Danio rerio: one gene and its partners. The protein of the gene in region 3 purifies or fractionates together with the protein of the main gene of each other region. This does not show direct contact. Links are inferred from orthologs where the notes say so. Each region holds a gene or a part of one and is shown on either strand. Other genes may lie near its edges.

The links. The genes of interacting proteins can lie anywhere in the genome.
Region 1: the proteins of bcar1 (region 3) and pxna purify together in Homo sapiens (affinity purification with western blotting; 3 studies listed by BioGRID, with this or other methods). This does not show direct contact. The link is inferred for Danio rerio from reciprocal best matches to the Homo sapiens genes BCAR1 and PXN.
Region 2: the proteins of bcar1 (region 3) and bcar3 purify together in Homo sapiens (co-immunoprecipitation; 4 studies listed by BioGRID and IntAct, counting the BioPlex papers as one, with this or other methods). This does not show direct contact. The link is inferred for Danio rerio from reciprocal best matches to the Homo sapiens genes BCAR1 and BCAR3.

What each region holds. Positions count from the first base shown.
Region 1 is NC_133180.1:7,365,177-7,369,222, reverse strand, and holds part of pxna (paxillin a), read right to left. Parts: intron 2,450-4,046; exon of another isoform or gene 2,391-2,449; coding exon 2,185-2,390; intron 549-2,184; coding exon 341-548; intron 1-340. UniProt on the Homo sapiens protein: Cytoskeletal protein involved in actin-membrane attachment at sites of cell adhesion to the extracellular matrix (focal adhesion). Recruits other proteins such as TRIM15 to focal adhesion.
Region 2 is NC_133183.1:16,860,699-16,864,744, forward strand, and holds part of bcar3 (breast cancer anti-estrogen resistance protein 3), read right to left. Parts: intron 1,921-4,046; coding exon 1,820-1,920; intron 1-1,819. UniProt on the Homo sapiens protein: Acts as an adapter protein downstream of several growth factor receptors to promote cell proliferation, migration, and redistribution of actin fibers.
Region 3 is NC_133193.1:24,021,543-24,025,588, reverse strand, and holds part of bcar1 (breast cancer anti-estrogen resistance protein 1), read right to left. Parts: intron 3,201-4,046; coding exon 2,511-3,200; intron 1-2,510. UniProt on the Homo sapiens protein: Docking protein which plays a central coordinating role for tyrosine kinase-based signaling related to cell adhesion. Implicated in induction of cell migration and cell branching. Involved in the BCAR3-mediated inhibition of TGFB signaling.

The DNA.
Region 1 (4,046 bases), on a different chromosome or scaffold from region 3:
GGATGCAGCCACTGTCAAACCCAAGACATCACATCTGGAACAGTTATAACCCTAACCAACCAATAAATAAACAATAGAAAACATGTTTCCCATCCCTGTTCCTGAAGGCACACCAACAGTACACATTTTCAACCTCTTTCTAATCAAACACTCCTTAATCACCTCATCAGAACATAAGAAGAGACTGCAAAACCTGGAATGAAAGGGTCCGATAAGGGAGACATCCAAAACAAGTACTGTTGATGTGCCTCCAGGAACAGGGTCGGGAAACACTTTATTAGATTGTTTGATATCCATGTCAAAAGTGCACATGTGATGATTTGGTGCTTTACAAACTGACCTTCAGCAGGGAAAGAGGGAGTGCTGTGCTGCACAGCGTTAAGTTCCAGCAGCAGACGGTCCAGTTCTGACAGGTTGCTGCCCAGAGAGGAGTTCATGACGGCGGTGGGAGACTCAATCGACTTCTGTTTGTTGGGGAAACTGTAGACGTGCTCTTCCTCAGACTGCGACACGCGAGGGCTGCTGCTTTTCGGGGCGGAGTTGAAAGACTGAGAAAAGAAAAATGTTTTACAATTAAGTACATTAACTTTACAAATGAAAGCAAATTAAATTGCAACATTTTCACTAATAATTCAGACTTTTTTCACCTGGTAAAACAAATAATAAAAATACTTTTTACCAAATCAGAACTAAAATTTCAGAATTACAAGTCATTTCAAGAGTTTACACTTAGCTGATGATTAAAAAGTGTATTTGGCAGCTCATAAGAGCTCAGAAGATCCTCGAGCACGGGGCTCCCTCCTGTTTGCAGGACAAGAGGGGAGTTTGAGCTCAGGTAGATCTCGAGAATTCCCCTGCTTATTTATAGCTAATAGCAATTTAGGGATTGCTATGAAGAGATATACAGCCGCTTAAAGTCTGGTTTATACTCCTGTGTCAAGTGATTGGCATGACCCACGGCGCATGCAACGCGCGTAGCTGTGCGTTTAGACTTCTGCGCGCTGTTTCTGTTGTTCTGCAAAAACGCTGGTTGGCAGTGAGGTGTTTGTTCATCTGTGTCGAGTTTCTTCACTGGTGTGTTTTTTTTCTGAACGCTTCCTTAATGTACAAGTGGCTTAAACTCGCTCATTTTGAGGCAGGAACCGGCAGACGTGCACCAACTTTAACCATGAGGTAAACACAAAACACATCACCTCAAAAACAGTGGAGAATTGGCCCTGAATAGCACAGCATAAGGTAAGAGATGACAGCTGTCTGTGCTATCTGGGGCTGCTTATTGGTCATAAATGTATTGCTTTTACTCCTGCGCCATGGAGACACCGCGATTCATTCGAAAACTATTTAATATGTGAATATAATTCAGTAAAAAGAATGCTAGAACCGTATGAGCACCGGCAAGAGCTTTCATTTGAGCTATAACTTGTACATGTGTCATATATGAACAATATGAAAATGAAACAATGTTCAATACCCAGCTCGGGTATCCAAAATACTGTGTATTTAAGAGTAAATAACTTTTGTACAATAGAATAAAAACCAAAGTGATGCATATGTGGATAAAATATAGATTCTACACTTTCAAACGAAACCACTTATGGGGGTCTGGTGCAATGCTAGCCCTTTAAATCTTAAAGTGAAAGTTGATGACGTCACGGACCCAGTACCGGGTCCGCAGAGTTTAACTGGTTAAGCCTTTAAATGTCACATTAAGCAGAGTACTAATGTCTTGAAATGATATCCAGTAAAATATTATGTACTGTCATTATGGTAAATATTGAAGAAATCAGTTATTAGAAATGAGTTATTAAAACTATTATGTTCAGAAATGTGCTGCAAAATCCTCTCTCCGTTAAACAGAAATTGGGAAAAATACAGGAGGGCTAATAATCCAGGAGGGCTACTAATTCTGATTTCAACTGTATATTGCATATACTATTATCAAGATAACGATACTTTTTAGATGTATTATGCAGATCTAACAAATATAACCTTGAATCTCCTGAACCTGCTTAATGGCACAAGCCTCTGGAGCAACCAAAGATGAAGTGCTTTGCTTGAGGGCAAAACAAGCAGAAAGTGGAACAGGCCGCATCTGGTATTTGTCATAAGGTTAAAGGATAACCAAGGAGACTCATATAAAGAGCAACAGAAAACCCTTCAGGAAGTAATGATGATGCATTTTACCTGGGTTGATGAGTGCTTTGATTCTGGTTTTTCTACCCAAGATCCATTCAGAGTTTCAGCAGGAGGGGAGATTACTCGAGGCGGAGACGACACGTCCTGATAAGAGTCGCTTCCTCTGGGGCAGGAATATGGCGTCTCTTCTGGCAGAAAAACACCTTGTTTGGAAATGTGGGAGGTTGTGGACTCCAAATCCGCGAGAAGAGCATCTGTTAGGTAGAAATAAATAAAGCAATGGTTTTAATCAAGAAAACAGCTAATTTAAAGACTAAATAAACAAAATAAAACAAATAAATAAATTATTTTTTATAAATGTTATTTATTAATTCAAAAAATAAAATGTATTAATTTAAATAAATAATTTAAATAAAAAATAATTAATTACATTTAATTAATTTAATTAAAATGAAAAATAACATTAATTAAAACAACATTAACGCCATTTGAAGGTGTCAGTGTTGCTGTGAAGACTTGTGCGACCACTTTTAAGCTTCTCTCCTGACCTTGAAAATATGATTGGCTGAATGGTAGAAAAGCTGAATTAAGATCGTGTGTAGGGTCGAATCGAGATCATGATCTTTTTTCGATTAATCGTGCAGCCCTAGTTTGTTTTGTAGACTATCGAAAAAAAAGTTGCCTAAATGGGGATGATAATATTGATCATATTGATGATAATATTGTCCTTAAAATGGTGTTTAAAAAATTAAGAAACGTTTTCATTCTAGCTGAAATAAAACAAATAAGAAAAAATATTATCAGACATACAGTGAAAATTTCCTGAATCTGTTAAACATCATTTGGAAAATATAAAAAAAAGAGAAAGAATGTCAAGGGGGGCTAATAATTCTGACTTCAACTGTTCATTTCTATTTATTAGTTTTTTTAATTTGCAATAACTCTTTTGAAATAAAATGAATTATCTTTGTATTCCTAAATAATATTAGGTGGCCAAACTCGTATTTTAACGGACATAACGGTTTAATAAAAGAGGGTGTACTCATTTACCCTGAGCACTGTATAATATCATGCCCAGAGACGTAAATCCCGGGGGGGATGGGGGGGACATATCCCCTCCCTTCCAATTTATTCTGCTTCAGGAGTCAGTCTGTTGACTGTAAACAACACAACAAACAATGCAAAAAATAGAAAAATTTGCTTTGTTATTGAACCTGAGAAAAACTTTAAAGCTAATCATAATGGCGTAGTCTCCATGCTATACTAATAATGATGAAACCATTTTGAACTGCGGGGACATTTCTTTCTTAGTACAAATCGGCTGTATTATTTGTGTCCCCTTCAAAAAAATGCTGGAAAGAAATTTTATGTTTACTGTCTCCCCTACTGTTAAATCAGATTTACGCCCATGATCATGCCACACACCCCTTAAACATTCATAAAAAACAAAAAAAGCTTATAACAATTTGCTGATTCCAAGAGCTTCCAGAATTCTGATATGCGCTTTAGATTCACATTCCCTTCATTGGTTTTGCAAACAACATAAATCTATCAGAAATCAAGCGGCTTGTTGTTGAATAACTCTTTGTCAAGTCTCTTCACAACATGTCTCTTCCTGGTCTGGATCTGATCCTGGAACAGTGGGATAATTATGAACCACAGGACGAGGATGGTGAAATCACTTCGCTCATATGGGGTGTGGCCAAACCTTGCATGTAAAGACTGCTCTAAAACAACATGCCTACAGGGACAGATTCAGCAGGAAGAAAAGCGCAAAATGCATAAACGGACACACACACACACCTCTTAATGCACATAAGACGAAAAAAAATCAATGTTCAAAAGCCAAACGCTCAGGAATGGAGCTGAAAGCACTCTCTCTCTCACACACACACACACAACTAAGCCTG
Region 2 (4,046 bases), on a different chromosome or scaffold from region 3:
CATGTTTCACACATTACTTGAAAGGATAAATCCCAAAAAAAGCTTAAAAGAGATTTTAACAATACAATTAAACAATATGTTTAAGGCTTATTATAATATCAGTAAGATATATACAGTTTAAGTCAGCATTATTAGCCCCCCCCCCCCCATATATATTTTGATAGAACATAATTTATATAATTCTGTTTAACGGAAATATTTTTAAAACAATTTTCTAATAGTTTCAATAACTCATTTCTAATAACTGATTTATTTTATCTTTGTCATGATGACAGTAAATAATATTTTACCACATATTTTCCAACATACAAGTATGCACCCTAAAGTGACATTTAAAGGCTTAACTAGGTTAATAAGGTTAACTAGGCAGGTAATGGTAATTAGGCAAGTCACTGTATAACGATAGTTTATTCTGCAGGGCCCAGTTTTTCAACAGTAATCCAGTGGGATTTTGGATCACGGATTGGATCAAATCTTGGAAATGGGATTTTCAAAAGTAACAGGAATTTTGTATTAAGATCAGACCACGTAATTCAATCTTACATTGGATTTAAATCAAACCTGCCCTTTGGGTTATGTAAAACTTTGAACTCAAATTGGGATCTATTTGACACAAAAAAACAGGATTATCCTCATCCCATCACAAGGGTGGATTCAGTTTCGACTTTTTTTGAACCAAATAAAATAAAAAAGGTTTTGTTTTTTAAGTAAATGATCACAAACTTAATGGTTACTTATGATATATAAATTCTGTCATATTTAAAGTCTATATAAAGCATGTCACATCTAATGCGGTACGGTAAACAAAAACAGCAAAACAATATTAAAGCAGTATTGTATTAGAACACTACTGTAAACAATGTTATATCCTTGTTGATTGCAGTGTTTCTGTTTCTTACCATTAAACAAACAATGGCTGTTTGTGGCCACTGGTACTTTGCCTACCTGTTGTTTATTGCTAAGAGAGTAGGCTACACAATTGATTCCATTTGAGGCTTCTTTAAAACTGTTATAAAAGTAAGATGGATCAGTAAATCCTGGATAGCAAAACATGGGATTTTCAAATCTGATCTAAATAAATGTATGTGAAAACTGGGCCCTGATGTTTGAAATAAAATATTGCTAATAAGAGCGCTAATAATATTGATCTTAAAATGTTTTTCAAACAAATAAAACTGCTTTTATTTTAGCCAAAATAAGACAAATAAGACTTTTTTACTTATAGGAAATACTGTGAAAGATTCCTTGCTCTGTTAAAAAATAATTTGGGAAATATTTGGAAAGAAATCAAATAAGGGCTAGTAATGACTTCAACTGTATATAAAAGTATTTCTGGACTTGACATGAAAAAAAATCACACTGTTTTTTTTTTCATTATTTCACAGACTATCTGTTGTAAATGGATTAAGAAAGATGGAAGCTGCCGATCTGAAGTTTTCTATTGGCATTCTGCACGGCAAAGCAGATTCAGCTCTCTGTTTTCTGACATGGACAGCAAAACTGCGTTTTTCACATAACCATATTTATTCTACTGACGCAGGCATAAATTATCTCCATCTCCGCTTTCATTCTTTGCCACAGAGTTTCTTCCACAAAACATTTTATTTTTGCATTTCAATCCCACGTCTCATTTCACACGTTTAACGTTCAGTAACCCGAAGTGAATTTCAAAGGCGGGAACGTCAGCTTGACTTTGAGAATCGTTTTCACTTTGGCTGAGAGCGAATGCGAGGAAGATGAGTGGTTTTCAGGGCTGTCAGATGTGTGTATCAGCGGCGTGACGGGGAATCAAGGCGGATGAGAGCTGACAGGAACTCACCGATAGGGAGGAAGCTCTCCGACTGATGGGTCTTCAGCGGCCGTCTCCTCTCCTGAACGTGGTTTAGACATGCTGGTTGACTTCCACATTTATCCTTGTTGCTGTGAAGGAGAAAGACAAGTTATTTAGTTTCTTCTCTAGAAGTCTTTTAGGCTGGTATTAAGTTTACACCACTTTTAATTGCATTCATTCTGCTGGGCTTCTTGTGGCGTGACATGAATTTTTCAAAGTATAAATTCCATAAAGTCTCTCAGTTAGTGTGAGGGCATCCAGTCTGCGCTATCGTTTTTTAAAATCTGCACAGTGGTGAGCTGTTTTGACACATTGTTTCTAGAAGTTTTATGCTGAATTTGACATTGTTTCCAAAAGTTTTATGCTGAATTGTCACGAAGGAGGTTTTCACTTACTTTATGCATTTTAATGCTTAAAAGCTGTCGTTATTGTGGATCTGTCACACTGCAGGCCAGGGCTAATTAAATAAGCGGTTCAGCATAAATAATGTTTTTCAATTATTTGGACAGGTTGAACTTGTTCCCTTCCAAATATAAACTGTACTGTCAATGATTTCTTAGAGACTACCATTGAGAAATGTCCACCATTGAGAAGAGTCACTCCACAGTAATTGGTATAAAAAATTTTAATTTTATTGCCTGCCATTTTCAAAGTTGCCCTCAATTATGAGAAGCGGAATTGCTTGAATAACAGAACTGTTTATATATATATATATATATATATATATATATATATATATATATATATATATATATATATATATATATATATATATATATATATATATATATAGGCATGCAACTAACAGATCAAAAACCAAAAAAAAAACATATATATATATATATATTTTATATTATTTCTATATATGTAATTTTCTCTATTCAGATTTGACCTGTATATGAAGCAGATTTGCTTAAATAACACAACAGTTGTTTTTTATAATTAAACTTTTTAAAGAGTACACACTTTTTGTAATCACATTAGCACCAAGCTTTGAAAGTCAAATTGTTGAATGAAAGGTTAGATATATGAAATGATCATTTTTTTGTATTTTATGATTATTATTTTAATCTGCTGAATTGTGCATTACAAAATACACATTTCTGAACATTCTGAACATGCTAAATAATGCAGTTTGAGAACTAGAATCTTATATAAAAATCTAAAGCATAAATACATATATTTTGATTTCATATATATAAAACATACAGTATGTCCTATAATCAACATATATTTCAAAACATTGCAAATGGCAGATTACAGATTCTTTTCAACCACTGGAATAAAATAAATATTTTGTATTAGACATTTAAAATTATAGCTAATGTGACTAATATACAGTTGAAGTCAGAATTATTAGCCCCCCTTTGATTTTTTTTTTTTCTTTTTTAAATATTTCTCAAATGATGTTTAACAGAGCAAGGAAATTTTCACAGTATGTCTGACAATATTCTTTCTTCTAAAGAAAGTCTAATTTGCTTTATTTCGGCTTGAATAATAGCAATTTAAAATTTGTAAAACATTTTAAGATCAAAATGATTAGCCCCTTTAAGCTATATAAGTTTTTCGATAGTCTACAGAACAAACCATCATTATAAGATAACTTGCCTAATTACCCTAACCTGCCTAGTTAACCTAGTTAAGGTTTTAAATGTCACATATAGAAGTGTCTTGAAACATATCTAGTCAAATATGATTTACTGTCATCATGGCAAAGATAAAATAAATCAGTTATTAGAAATGAGTTATTAAAACTTATTTTTATAACAGTTTTTAATAAAATCTTTATTCCGTTAAAACAGAAATTGGGGGAAAAAATTAAAAGGGGAGGTAATAATTCTGACTTCAACTGTAAATTGTAAGTTTTTCATGTTTTTTTTTTAAAGAAAATTATTCTGTTTATCAAGGCGGCATTTATTAAATAAAAAGAAAATTTGTTAAATTCTAAAATATTTATAAAAATCTTAAATAACTGCTTTCTTATTCTTGCTTTTATTATTATTACCATCAATAATTATAACAACAACAACAACAACAGTGTGATTTCTAAAGGATCATGTGACTAAAGACTAAAGTAATGAAGCTGAAAATTCATCATTAAATCACAGCAATAAATGATTAAATGAAATGATAAACTTCTTTTGAACAGTTATTTTATAGTGCAATAATATTTCACAATGTTACAATTTGTACTGTATTTATGCTGAAATAAATG
Region 3 (4,046 bases):
GTTTCCTAAGGGTGCTCTGGATTCCCCCTCAGTCCAATGCGATACAGGTTAATTGAATAAGCTAAATTGGCCGTAGTGTCTGTGTGTGAATGCAGGAGTGTATGGGTGTTTCGCTGAGTTAGATTGCAGCTGGAAGGGCATCCACTGCATAAATCATATGGTGGATACGTTGGCGGTTCATATCGCTGTGGTGACCCCTGATTTATAATAAAGGGACTAAGCTAAAAAGTAAATGAATGAATGAATATATAATGATATTTATGATATAAAATAAAGTTAATATTTATGATATAAAATAAAATTGATTTATTTGCAGTCAGAAATGTACCAAAATACTTTATAGAACATGATCTTTACTTAATATTCAAATTATTTTATTATTAAAGAATCCTTATGTTGTCTTAAAATTTCTTAAAAATCTCCTGACATATGGATAAACATAAATATTTCAAAATTTTAATAATGCTTTTTTATTCATGATTTTATATATTTTTAATCAGCTGACAAATTCCCTGCGGTGCCCTCATGATCCAGACCCTGCACTACAGGATATGTTTTATTAATTTCCTTGACTTTTCCATCCCTGGAAATTACCCTGTCAAATTTCTATCCTTTCCAGATCTGTGGAAACCCTGTATAACCCGATACTGTATTATGGTGTGACCACAGTCATTTCTCGCAATGGAAACTCTCCACACAATGAGAAGGTAATATGCATCATGGTAGTTAAAACTGCCTGCCTGCTTTCATTCATGCATTCATTCATTTTCTTTTTGGCGTAGTCCCTTTATTAATCTGGGGTTGCCATAGCGGAATGAACCGCTAACTTATACAGCACATGTTTTACGCAGCGGATGCCCTTCCAGCCGCAGCCCATCTCTGGAAAACATTCACACACACTAATTCACACTCATACACTACGGACAATTTAGCCTACCCAATTCACCTGTACCGCATGTCTTTGGACTGTGGGGGAAACCGGAGCACCCGAGGAAACCTGCGCAAATGCAGGGAGAACATGCAAACTCCACACAGAAACACCAACTGACCCAGCAGAGGCTCGAACCAGTGACGTTCTTGCTGTGAGGTGACAGCAGTACCTACTGCGCCATGGCGTTGCCTTGCCTGCTTTCAGTTGTTTATTATGTAATCAACATGTAAGTAATGATGCGCAATACACATGAACAACATTAGCATGCTACAGTTTTAAAAACCTACATAACAGTGAACAGGATGAGCAGAAGCATTGGCACTGAGTCACTATTGCTGTAGGTAGATCAGATATGACAGGTGGCCAACACAGAGCAGGCCTGCAGCTGAACCTCTCCATCTTTACACTTGATTTCCCTCTCCACTGCATACAGTATGGCTCAGTGCCCTAAGAGTGGCCTGAAACACTCTCTCAAAAGACGGTCACTGCCCATAGCTTCAACCTGAAGTTACCACTCAAAAAAACTGCTTACTCACTCTGTGTGGCCCACGGTCAGCGGCGTTATCAAACTCTGCATTATTTATGACCATCTTTCACTCCTCCTTCATAACCCCTCCTTTTGTCAGTCTATATTTCTCACATCATATTTCTGTATGTTTTTCATTATATATTTTATCACACAAGTTCATGTATGAAAATGGTCAACAAAAATGAATTTAAAGTGTAACAGTTGAGAAGGTTATATTATAAACATTTATTTATTATCATCAAATGTTTTTTATATTCACCAATTAATTATGTAGGATAGAAATAGGATAGAAAATACACTACATAATACTTAAAACATAAAAATAATGAAAATAAAATAAAATTTAAAGCATACATATAATAAAATTATTTATTTATTTATAATGTTTTCATAAAAATAAATAAATAAATAATAATAATAACACAAGCCAGTCAATTCTTAATAATAGGACATGGAATATGGTTTAGGAAAAAAAAAAGATGGATTTCATGTGGTTTTAAAATGTTTATTATATATCTAAATCTAATCATTAAAAGAAATCAATTGGAGATTACAAGATGAAAGAATAAATAAAAATATAAAATTATAGTTGCAATAATATCAGTAGTAATAGTGATATTCATAATCATAATAATTAATACAATACAATTAATACTTAATATATAATGATATTTAAATTTTGTCTACAATATCACAATATCACATATTTTAGAGGTTAAAAAAAATTATTGTTATTATTATTATTAATAATATTTCAAGTGTGTAAATAAATAAATAAATAAATAAACAAAAAAATTAGTAAATAAATAAATAAATAAAATAATTAAAATAAATAAAATAATTTAAATAAATTTTAAAATTTAGTTAAATAAAATAAAATAAAATAATAAAATAAAATAAAATAAAATAAAATAAAATAAAATTAAATTAAATTAAATTAAATTAAATTAAATTAAATTAAATACAGCTTTTAGGTTAAGCTATTTATTATGAAAGTAAATGTCTGAAAACGTGTTACATATATGTGTATACAAAAGGATCTTTCCCTACCTTCCCCATGGGTTTGGGAGAGTCCCAGCTCCTGTCTAAAGATGGGGGAATCTGGTAAACATCCTGTGTCTGGTTCACAGAGGGTGGCACCTGGTACACGTCCTGCCCGGGACACTGCCCTCCTGCAGCGGGTGGCACCTGGTAGATGTCCTGGCCTGGTGCGTTAATGGAGGGGGGCACCTGGTAGACATCCTGTGTAGTGGGAGGGTACTGCACATGAGTTTGCTTCTTTGCTAAAGCGGGGGCCTTGGGTTGGGGCTGTGGAGTCGGGGGGCCGGAGGGCACCTGGTAGAGGCTAGAGCCATGGCTGGGGGGCAGCATGTAAACGCCGTCTGGGTTGGTGGAGTTGGCAGAGCCAGAGGGGGTGAAGGCGGGGTGCATGGCCGTGTACTGGGCTGCAGGGGGTATCTTGTTGTAGGCACTCTGAGGCAGGTTGATGAGGCTCTGGGTTGGGCTGGGTTGGTTCGCTAACTGCTGTAGCTGCTGCTGTTGCTGCTTATCATACATGCCAACGAGAATCTTCAGCCGGTTGCCAGGAACAATTCCTTGCCGGCCATGCAGCGAACAGAGCCACCAGCCTTCCAAGCCCTGCGTGTCCCGCTCCAGCACGGTCATGATGTCGCCCTTCCGAAAGGACAACTCGTCTGGAGACTCCGCCACATTGTCATACAGGGCTTTTGCCAACACATTCTGCAAGAGAGAAGAGAGAAAGGTTAAGTTTATGTTATAAAATGAAGAGTGTAACTCAAAATAGAGGGCGACACGGTGGCAAAGTGGGTAGCATAATCGCCTCATAGCAAGAAGGTTGCTAGTTCAAGGCCTAGCTTAGTCAGTTAGCATTTCTGTGTGGAGTTTGCTTGTTCTCTCTATATTCGTGTCGGTAGGTGAATTGAATAAACTAAATTGGCCATAATGTATGAGCATATGATGTATGAGTGTGTAAAGATTTTTCCCAGTACTGGGTTGCAGCTGAAAGAGCATCCTCTGTGGTGACCCCTGATGCATCAGGAGACTAAGCCGAAGGAAAATAAATGAATAAATAAATCTAAATATTAATATTTGCTGTTAATACTAACACTCTGCTACCAAAACAACTGGACTGTGATTGAAATTGCTAATGTCATCCACATTCTTTTCATTTGCTTGCTTGTTTGTTGCAATTCATGAACTTGTTTATTCAATAGTACAGGTACATCACACTGAGCACTTCGGTGAGTGTGCCATAGAGCATGGCAAAATAAAAGGTAAATCCCAACACAAAAGGTCAAATAAGACACATTTGAATGCATGTTAACACCACTTATGATCACTGAAAAACTTATGTCCATAGGTGTAAAAAGGGCCTCAGAAGAAAAAAAAAAAAACTTTATTTGAAATAGCCATCTTTTGATTTATTGCAATTTGCTGTACTGTCCACTTTGAATAATTGCATTCTTCCTTGCTAAATAAATGTATCAGTTTACTTACAAAAAAGCTTGCAACAAGTTTGTGTGGGATTTCTCCGGCTGCTCTGGTATCCCCCACAGTCCAAAGACA